Linked DNA regions of Oryzias latipes. Each later gene encodes a partner of the first gene's protein in a complex. Links are inferred from orthologs where the notes say so. Each region holds a gene or a part of one and is shown on either strand. Other genes may lie near its edges.

What was found.
Region 2: cnot9 (region 1) and CCR4-NOT transcription complex subunit 6 share a complex: the UniProt entries of both Homo sapiens proteins name them as parts of the CCR4-NOT complex. The link is inferred for Oryzias latipes from reciprocal best matches to the Homo sapiens genes CNOT9 and CNOT6.

The regions. Positions count from the first base shown.
Region 1 is NC_019879.2:16,425,335-16,429,770, reverse strand, and holds the start of cnot9 (CCR4-NOT transcription complex subunit 9), read left to right. Parts: upstream 1-1,470; 5' UTR 1,471-1,830; coding exon 1,831-1,848; intron 1,849-2,320; coding exon 2,321-2,506; intron 2,507-2,650; coding exon 2,651-2,766; intron 2,767-3,193; coding exon 3,194-3,303; intron 3,304-3,430; coding exon 3,431-3,540; intron 3,541-3,732; coding exon 3,733-3,831; intron 3,832-4,436. Other genes in the region: usp37 (ubiquitin carboxyl-terminal hydrolase 37), read right to left, coding at 179-352. UniProt on the Homo sapiens protein: Component of the CCR4-NOT complex which is one of the major cellular mRNA deadenylases and is linked to various cellular processes including bulk mRNA degradation, miRNA-mediated repression, translational repression during translational initiation and general transcription regulation.
Region 2 is NC_019868.2:16,555,710-16,559,529, forward strand, and holds part of CCR4-NOT transcription complex subunit 6, read left to right. Parts: intron 1-175; coding exon 176-378; intron 379-471; coding exon 472-687; 3' UTR 688-3,820. UniProt on the Homo sapiens protein: Poly(A) nuclease with 3'-5' RNase activity.

The DNA.
Region 1 (4,436 bases):
ATGTGCTTGAAATTTTTAATTGAGATAAAATAATAGGTGTAGTTCTATCCAAAATGGAATAAATTACACTAATTTAAAAAAATGTCTAAGTAGGGATGACAGAAACATCATGCCTAATGCTAAATATCTGTCACAACACCAACAAGCATACAGATAAAATACATTAAAGAGAAATTACCTGGAAAGTTTTGGCAGCGCCACCACAGCTGAACCTTAAACAGAGATTAACTCTGTTATCCTTTTCCAAAATTTCAAAGGTTCCCTCTTTCCACTTGGTGCCGCCCAGCTCAATGGTGTTAAAGCGAATCTTGACAGTGCTACCACTGGAGAGTTTGGGCACAAAAGTTGACATGGCTTGCTATCCTGATGGTCCACTTGTTAGGTCTGAATTTAAGATGTACAAAAGAAATAAACATGTCAAGAAATAGTCACACGGGTAGCCTATAATGGCAAAAACAACCTCACTTTTATGACTGCTATTGCTATTTAACCAAATAAACAGTTTAAATGAATATTTTTACCATTGCTAAATGCCACATAACAAGAAGTTAGTATTTTTGTAACTAGTTTGCTATATTGTTTTTTTTACAGAACATGCAGCACCGACGTGCCATTCTGAAGATTATAAGTGATTTAATTTGTAGCCAACAATAACATTTGCTAAAAACTTGAAATGTGTTATTCAAAATTATAATAATAAATAAATAAAAGATACAGAAACAAAACTAATATGAGATATGTAGATACGTAGCCAACATGGCAAATGCGGTTTGAAGTAAAGGAAAAAGGTAGGACTTCATAATCCAAAGTGACAAGTTAGCATAACAGTACAATATGAATTACTGCACCACAAAAATCACAAAATATAACAAACTGCATATCCTGAACGGTCATTGAATTTTAGTTTTAAACATGTTTGTGTAGAGCCTGCATTTAAACAACAAACACTGACAACTCCAATGTTGCAGAGGAGAAGCAACACATTTTGAGCTGCGTTGTGATGCTCGTGGCGCGGCCAGAACCATAGATTCAAACGATATAAACAAAAATATCAGTCTATCAACGAACTAGTCGAATAACATGAATCTAATATTAAATGTGAAGCATGCAGTGGCGTTTTTGTTTCTTTAACAGACGCTTAATATGATGGAAGAGGCCCACATTAGCAACACTGGTTCCTAAGCTAGCGGGAGCTAGCTAACACAGTAATTTGGTGATGAAAACAACCACATTCAGTGCCATCGTCATTTCATTACCTGTCTAGGATCACGGTGGTGGTTCCAAACCTATAGAATGTGGACTTGACTTCGCAGATCCTTCGAGAGCATAAAAAAGGTTTTGCCGGCATTCACCTGCTGTTCTGTATGTTTGCTGCAAGTAGAGCAGCACACTACGCCTCACAGCAACGGGCGATGATGGCGGGAATGGGAACATTTACAACGGAAATGATGAACGAGATTGCGCTCCGTTCTCCTCTCGCGATATCTGAGACGTTGTTTGTAGCGAAGTTGTCCCTGCCGAGGAAAAAAAATCAAACGCGAGATTGAAAAAAATGCCAGTGTAAACTTGGTTTATTGATACTATAACGACAATAATTTCTTTTTGTGCTTCTGTAGTTCTCAGTGTTGGGATTTCGATTGAAGTTATGTGAAGTTACGCATGTTGTGGATCCCATTTGTTAGAGCACCTAGCAACTAGCTAAGCTAGCAGTTCGTAAGCATATGTCCATGGTTCTTACGGTGAGATTTCAGGGTCGAGTATTGCGAAGAGGTGCAAACTGACGAACTTTCTATTAAAAGAGTATTTTGAGATCCCGAAAAGCTTTCCAAAATGTTGGCAACGGGAGCGGTGAGTATCAAACTATTGCATCGCTCTCACGGTGACGTTCCCTCCAATTTCGCCTAAGTACATCGAAAATCTTTTTTTTCCTCCCAAATTTCAGCTTTCTTTATTGAATTAATTTTAAAGCAGAACTTCTCTTTGCAGTTTTCAAAGAAAGACTGCATAATATTAATGAAAGCCTCGTACAAATGTAGTACAGTATGGTTTTGGTATACATGTATTGCAGTTGGCAAATCATGAGACGTTTTTGTAGTTAAATTGACAAATAATTTGATTTTGCCCCAATTTGTCATAGCAGACATTTAACAAATTTACACGCTGTCATTTCCTCTTCATGATTTGGGTTTGCAGAAGGGGGAAATTAAACGTAGGTTACATATATCTTAATTAGCGTAATGTTTTTGTTCTTGAGTGTTTCGTTTGTTTGCTTGTTTAAAGAATTGATTGCGAATGGATTGATATTTTCTTCCTATCAAAGGCTGTAACCAACGTCACAGCCCTGGCCCAAGTAGACCGTGAGAAGATTTACCAGTGGATCAATGAGTTGTCCAGTCCAGAGACTAGAGAGAATGCTTTGCTGGAGCTCAGCAAGAAGCGAGAATCCGTGCCAGACTTGGCCCCAATGCTCTGGCATTCATGTGGCACCATTGCTGCCCTGTTGCAGGTATTGGTCCACCTGTTCATTTGACACAGGTCATCCCATTGGGACTGTTTGTGCATCTGTGCCTCTTGTATGGTCTTTATTTTTGTAGTGGTGTTAAACAACTCCTTTTGTTAATTAAATTGTCCTCCTTTTTTTTTTTTTCAGGAAATAGTAAACATCTATCCGTCTATTAACCCACCAACCCTTACAGCCCACCAGTCAAATAGAGTGTGTAATGCCCTGGCACTTTTGCAGTGTGTTGCCTCACATCCAGAGACACGGTAACAAGATAGTTATTGTTACTGAAAAATCAGATTTTTATTTTTTATTTTTAGTAATTCTAATAATTAACTGCTCTTATAATGTTTTAAAGGGGTAACAGACCACAATCTGTTTTATTTATTTGTTTATTATTTGTTTAAAAAGTAACAGTCATCAGTCACTTTTAATACATACATCATACAGAATAGTGGATTTTTCCAGCATTTAGCCTTTGCAGATCTTCAGTTTAAAGCGGTTAAAAGATAATAAATATAGTATTTTCATTTTTATTAAGGCCATGGTCTAAATAAATTGTTTAATATTAAGGTTTTGTTATGTAATTCCTCAATTCACTATAATTTAAAAAAAAAAACGAACTTATTTCCATTTGCAAGGTTTAATGTGTTACATTGATTAATATGATTTTATTTGTTTTGTCCACACCAGGTCAGCATTTCTAGCTGCCCATATTCCTCTTTTCCTTTACCCTTTTCTGCACACTGTGAGTAAAACGCGTCCATTTGAGTACCTGCGACTTACCAGTCTAGGAGTCATAGGTAATTTCTCCTGCTGAGATCATGTTTTTGTTGATTTTACTTTTAATTTAAAAAGTCTTCTCTTTTAGGTATTGCTCTGATAATTCTGTTTATGTCAGATCTTGATTTGTTTGTGTGTTCTTGACAGGTGCATTGGTGAAAACCGATGAACAAGAAGTGATAAACTTCCTTCTTACTACGGAAATCATCCCACTCTGTCTTCGCATCATGGAATCTGGAAGTGAACTCTCCAAGACGGTAATTACCAATGAAATCAAAAGCAGTTTTTATCAAGCAGGAAGAAAAAAATGGATTTTGGAGTCAAACATTCAAAATATGTGTTAACAGATTTGGGTTTTGGTTTTCTAAAACCTACTCTCATGCATTTATCTATGGTATGAATTTAACTCATGTTTCTACCATTGACTATAATTCTTTTTTTTTTATCAGGTTGCTACTTTCATACTGCAAAAGATCCTGCTGGATGACACTGGGTTGGCTTACATATGTCAGACTTATGAACGTTTTTCCCATGTCGCCATGATTCTTGTAAGTATTTTAGGATTTTTGTGTTGTGCACCTATAGCATTGTTGTGATAAAGATGTACAGTCAAGACCATAAATATTTGGACAGAGACACGTTTTTTCTAACGTGTCTCTCAGATCAACTCAGATGCCATTGAAGTGCAGACTTTCAGCCTTGGTTGAACAAAAAGATTGTATAAAAATGTGAAAAACTAAAGCATTTTTTAAACACAATCCCTTCATTTCTTGGGCTCCTAAGTAATTGGACAAATTAAATAACTGAAAACAAAATGGTCATTACTAATATTTGGTGGAAAACCCTTTGTTGGCAATGACAGCCTGAGCTGACCTCTCTTGATGAGAGACTGGCGGTAATAATTGGGGAATCCCTTTTAAGTGGTGTGGTGACTGAGGCGCAGGGGGAACACCGACGCGCCAGATGCACCGGGTGACATACCCCCAAAAGCCCGCAGAGGTCCAACAGGACAGCTCGAGGATTTTTTTTTTTTTTTTTTTTTTTTTTTTTTTTTTTTTTTTTAGATTTCCAAAATTTTTCATCCAACCCACAAGAATGAGTTTCTTGCAACAGAAAAATATTTCCGCCAGTTCTTCTAAGAAAAAGAAATAAT
Region 2 (3,820 bases), on another chromosome or scaffold:
TTGTTTCACTGTAAAACACTAAAGAACCAAATACAAAATACAAAAGCTGGTATAATCAACTTTTATTGAAGCCCCTTTGTAAAGATCCAGTTGCATGAGTGAGGGACTCTGTGTGGTACTGGAAACGGAGAAGCCCAGGCTTTGACTGAATCTATTTTTTTTACCCCTACTCTAGGTGTAGTGGAATACCTGAGTACTGGTGGAGTGGACTGCACCCATAAGGACTTCAAAGAGCTCCGTTATAGTGACTGCCTGACCAAATTTAACTGCAACGGCAAGAACAGCACGTCGAATGGCAGGATCACCCACGGCTTCAAGCTGAAGAGCGCCTATGAGAATGGCCTGATGCCTTATACCAACTACACCTTTGACTTTAAGGTAACACCTGAAGCTGCAGGGGGAAAAAAAGCTTTAAACGCCTTTCAAAAATGGTGCAAATGTATATACTAATTTAATGTACCTCCCCCTTAGGGTGTCATCGACTACATTTTCTACTCCAAGCCTCACCTGAACGTGCTGGGAATCCTGGGACCGCTGGATCCCCACTGGCTTGTAGAAAACAATGTCACCGGCTGCCCCCACCCCCACATCCCCTCCGACCACTTCTCCCTCTTTGCTCAACTGGAGTTGCTCCTGCCCAACATACCCTCCCAGGTCAATGGGCTTCACCTGCCTGCGCGCAGGTAGTTAGACCCTGCCATACCACTAGGGGGAGCTGCAACCACACCTCCCTCTCAGTTCTGCTCCCTCCCTGTACCAGCTCTTCCCTCCAGCACGCTGGAGGAGAAAGACACCTACACAAATCCACACACACACACACACATACAAAAAACCTGTAAAATATTCGTACAGTGAGGTCTGGCTGACAGGGATTTCGTATAGATACTCTATATTTTTCTTTGTTTTTCTTTTTATGTTCTTTTTTAACTGCTTGATTCAGCCCTGTTTGTGTATCATATTTTGTGTATTGGACTCCCCCTCCTTGTCAAATCCACCCCCGCCCCTCCCACCTGCTTTGCTTCTGTCTCAGACTGCAGAGGATGGTGGCTCTTTCGGCTTCCTCTCATATGTTGTGCTGTGATGTTTTGGAGTTAGAGGAAAGGTTAATGTTGCTGAAAAAAAAAGGACATTTTAAGTGAAAAGCTTGAGAGCTGAAGGTCTGCCGGTCTGTCTGTTCTGTATAAACCTAAAACCAGCAAAGACAGCAGACCCATCCCTTTCAGACCTGCACCGCTGGCTTCTTCTTGTCCTTCGGGTCCATGGTGCACCCCTCTCGGGGGGGGGACACGGAAACAACGTTCTTGTGTTTGGGGTTTTAGAGCAGCTTTTCGAGGGGTTTCTCTGGAGTGATGCAGCTCGCTTTTGTGTGTGTGTGCGTGTGTTGGGGTTTTTTTTTTCCTGCTGTCGTGCTGTGGTGCTGAGGCCTTTTATGAGGTCATGGCCTCTTGTGGTGCTACAAGACAGTCTATGCCTCCCAGCCCCGGCACATTAACCCCACAAGAAGCCCGGAGAACCAGAACCCTTAGCTTACATTTGTCCGATTTCACCGACGCCATGTAGCTTTAAAGAAAGATGGGAGAAACTGAGCGCAGCTGCTATCTGTTCTGCAGACTATTTCACCCCCTGCTTGTGTAGTTGTTAGGTTATTCTTGTGCTAGGAGCTTATGTGGCCTGTGTATCGCCTTTTTTTTTTTTTTTTTATTTCCTGGAAGGAGCAAGGGATTCGGCTGATTGGCTGGTCCATCGGGGAGCCATCACGCCCTTTATGGGTTGTGATTGCTTTTTAGGCAGAGATGGACACACCGGAGTAAAACCAGCATCCTTCTCACTGTCGGGAGTTGCCGTCCTACTCCAAACATGCAAGCGTACATGCACTCGCATACACCAAGATCTCTCACGGGCAGATTCTGTAGCACTGTCTCCAAGGCCTGTAGTGACTTTTCTCCCCCCCCCAGCCATGCGTTCCGTTCACAGAAGCAGTGGGTTCTTGGTTTCCTTTTTTTTTTTCCACAAGTCTTTGTACAGAATAGAAACCTAGACTCAGTCTTTACATGATTGTATATGAACCACAAAAGACCTGTTTTCTGGCGTTTTTTGTACAAAGAGTAAATTATGGTCAAATTTGAAAAAGAAAAAAAAGATTGTATTGTAAACTAAGGCTAAATTTTTATCCAGTTGATGTTGAGATGAATTGATATTACCAGCTTGTACAAAAGACGTAAGAAGAGGTTGTTGCAGGCATTCGCTGCCACTACTTTGCACTCCCTAAACATTGACTGTAACTTCAGTCCCCCCCCCATCCCCCACCCCTCTCTTTTGACCCTTGTTTGATTCGCCGACTCTTTGCTATGATGTAAAATGGGCAGCAAGGAAATTCTGCCTGTTGCTTCTTATCCATTAACGACGCCATTTCTTTGTCTTTTCGCCTCGTCGCCAGTAGTTTGGTCAAAGTGACATCCGAGGACGAGTACCATCTCTTCATCATTTAAGTGGTCGATATACACCCAGCCCCCCCCCCCCCCCCCCCCCCCTCCACCAATGTACATCGTGCCTCGCTGTAGCAGTTGACTTTGTCTTGCACTATTTATAAGCGGCGAACGCCTCAACAACCTTTTCTCTTATTTTTAAATACTGTTGAGACATTTGTGAAGATTTTGTCCTTTCTTTTTTTTTTGTTAATGTTTCCTTTTTTATGAGACGTGACAATGTTATATATACATATATGAATATATATATATATATATATATATATATATACACACATAAACTCTGTCCATTGACCTCTCTAATAATCAGGTATGCTTTGTCCACTGACCCTCTCTGTAAGGAACATGAGTCGTGGGGGCGTCTTCTAAACTCCCCCTTTGATTGCTGTGCTCCCTCTTTGTACCTAAAGCACTGCTCCCACCCCCCACCCCCATCCCAGCCCCCGGCTTCCTTCCTGGCCACGCGTCCCACCCACCAAACCACCCATCGTCTTTGTAACGCCCCCCACCCAACCACTTTGTATAGGTTTTCTACTCTTGTCACTGCAGCTATAGTGCCATTTGTGGAGCCCCCTACCTCTGTGTTGGTAAAAGGTGGAAAGGCCCACTTTTCCTTTACTCTTTGTGGGGGGAAAACTTTAAAAAGAAAAAAGGGTGAGGGTCAGTGAGCTTTCCTGTCAACACGTCGCTGCAAATCCAGTTTGTCTTATTCTGAAAATCCAAGTGAAGTCTGTGAGCAGCAGCGTAATCGTTTGAACGCTCATGTGGATGATGAGCACTTATCAAATTCAGAAACGGCTTTCCTCATTCCTCCCATATTAACCACTAAAAATGAATTCTGTTGCATTTTTAATGCAGGAAAGAAGCAAATCTACAGGAAAAATAATCAATTGGCCCCTCTCTAACTTCCTTTATTATGTTGTTTTAATTGCCCCCCCCCCCCCCCCCCCCCCCCCCCCCGGCGCACCCCAGCGGTAACCAATGTGTTCAATTTTGACATTTTGTTTCTTGAATGGCATTAGTATTGTAGTAGATTTAAAGGGGTAGCTTTTTTTGTAAAGTGTGAATAAAAGATGTATCTCATGTTTCCTTTCTAAAAGATGTTGGATTGTGTTGTTGATGTGCAAATCATGAATTCTTTGACGCATCGTTTTTAACACACCCCTACCCCACACACAAACACACACTTGGCGCCGAATCTACATCTCTGGAGATCATGTAGTCTTGATGGGTTGGTCCTCCTGAACAGAAGGTTTTAGTGCGTTTCCCTAGAAACCTGGATCATTGGTATTAGTTCAACGCCCCTCCCTGTGTTTCTCCTTGATCTTTCATCT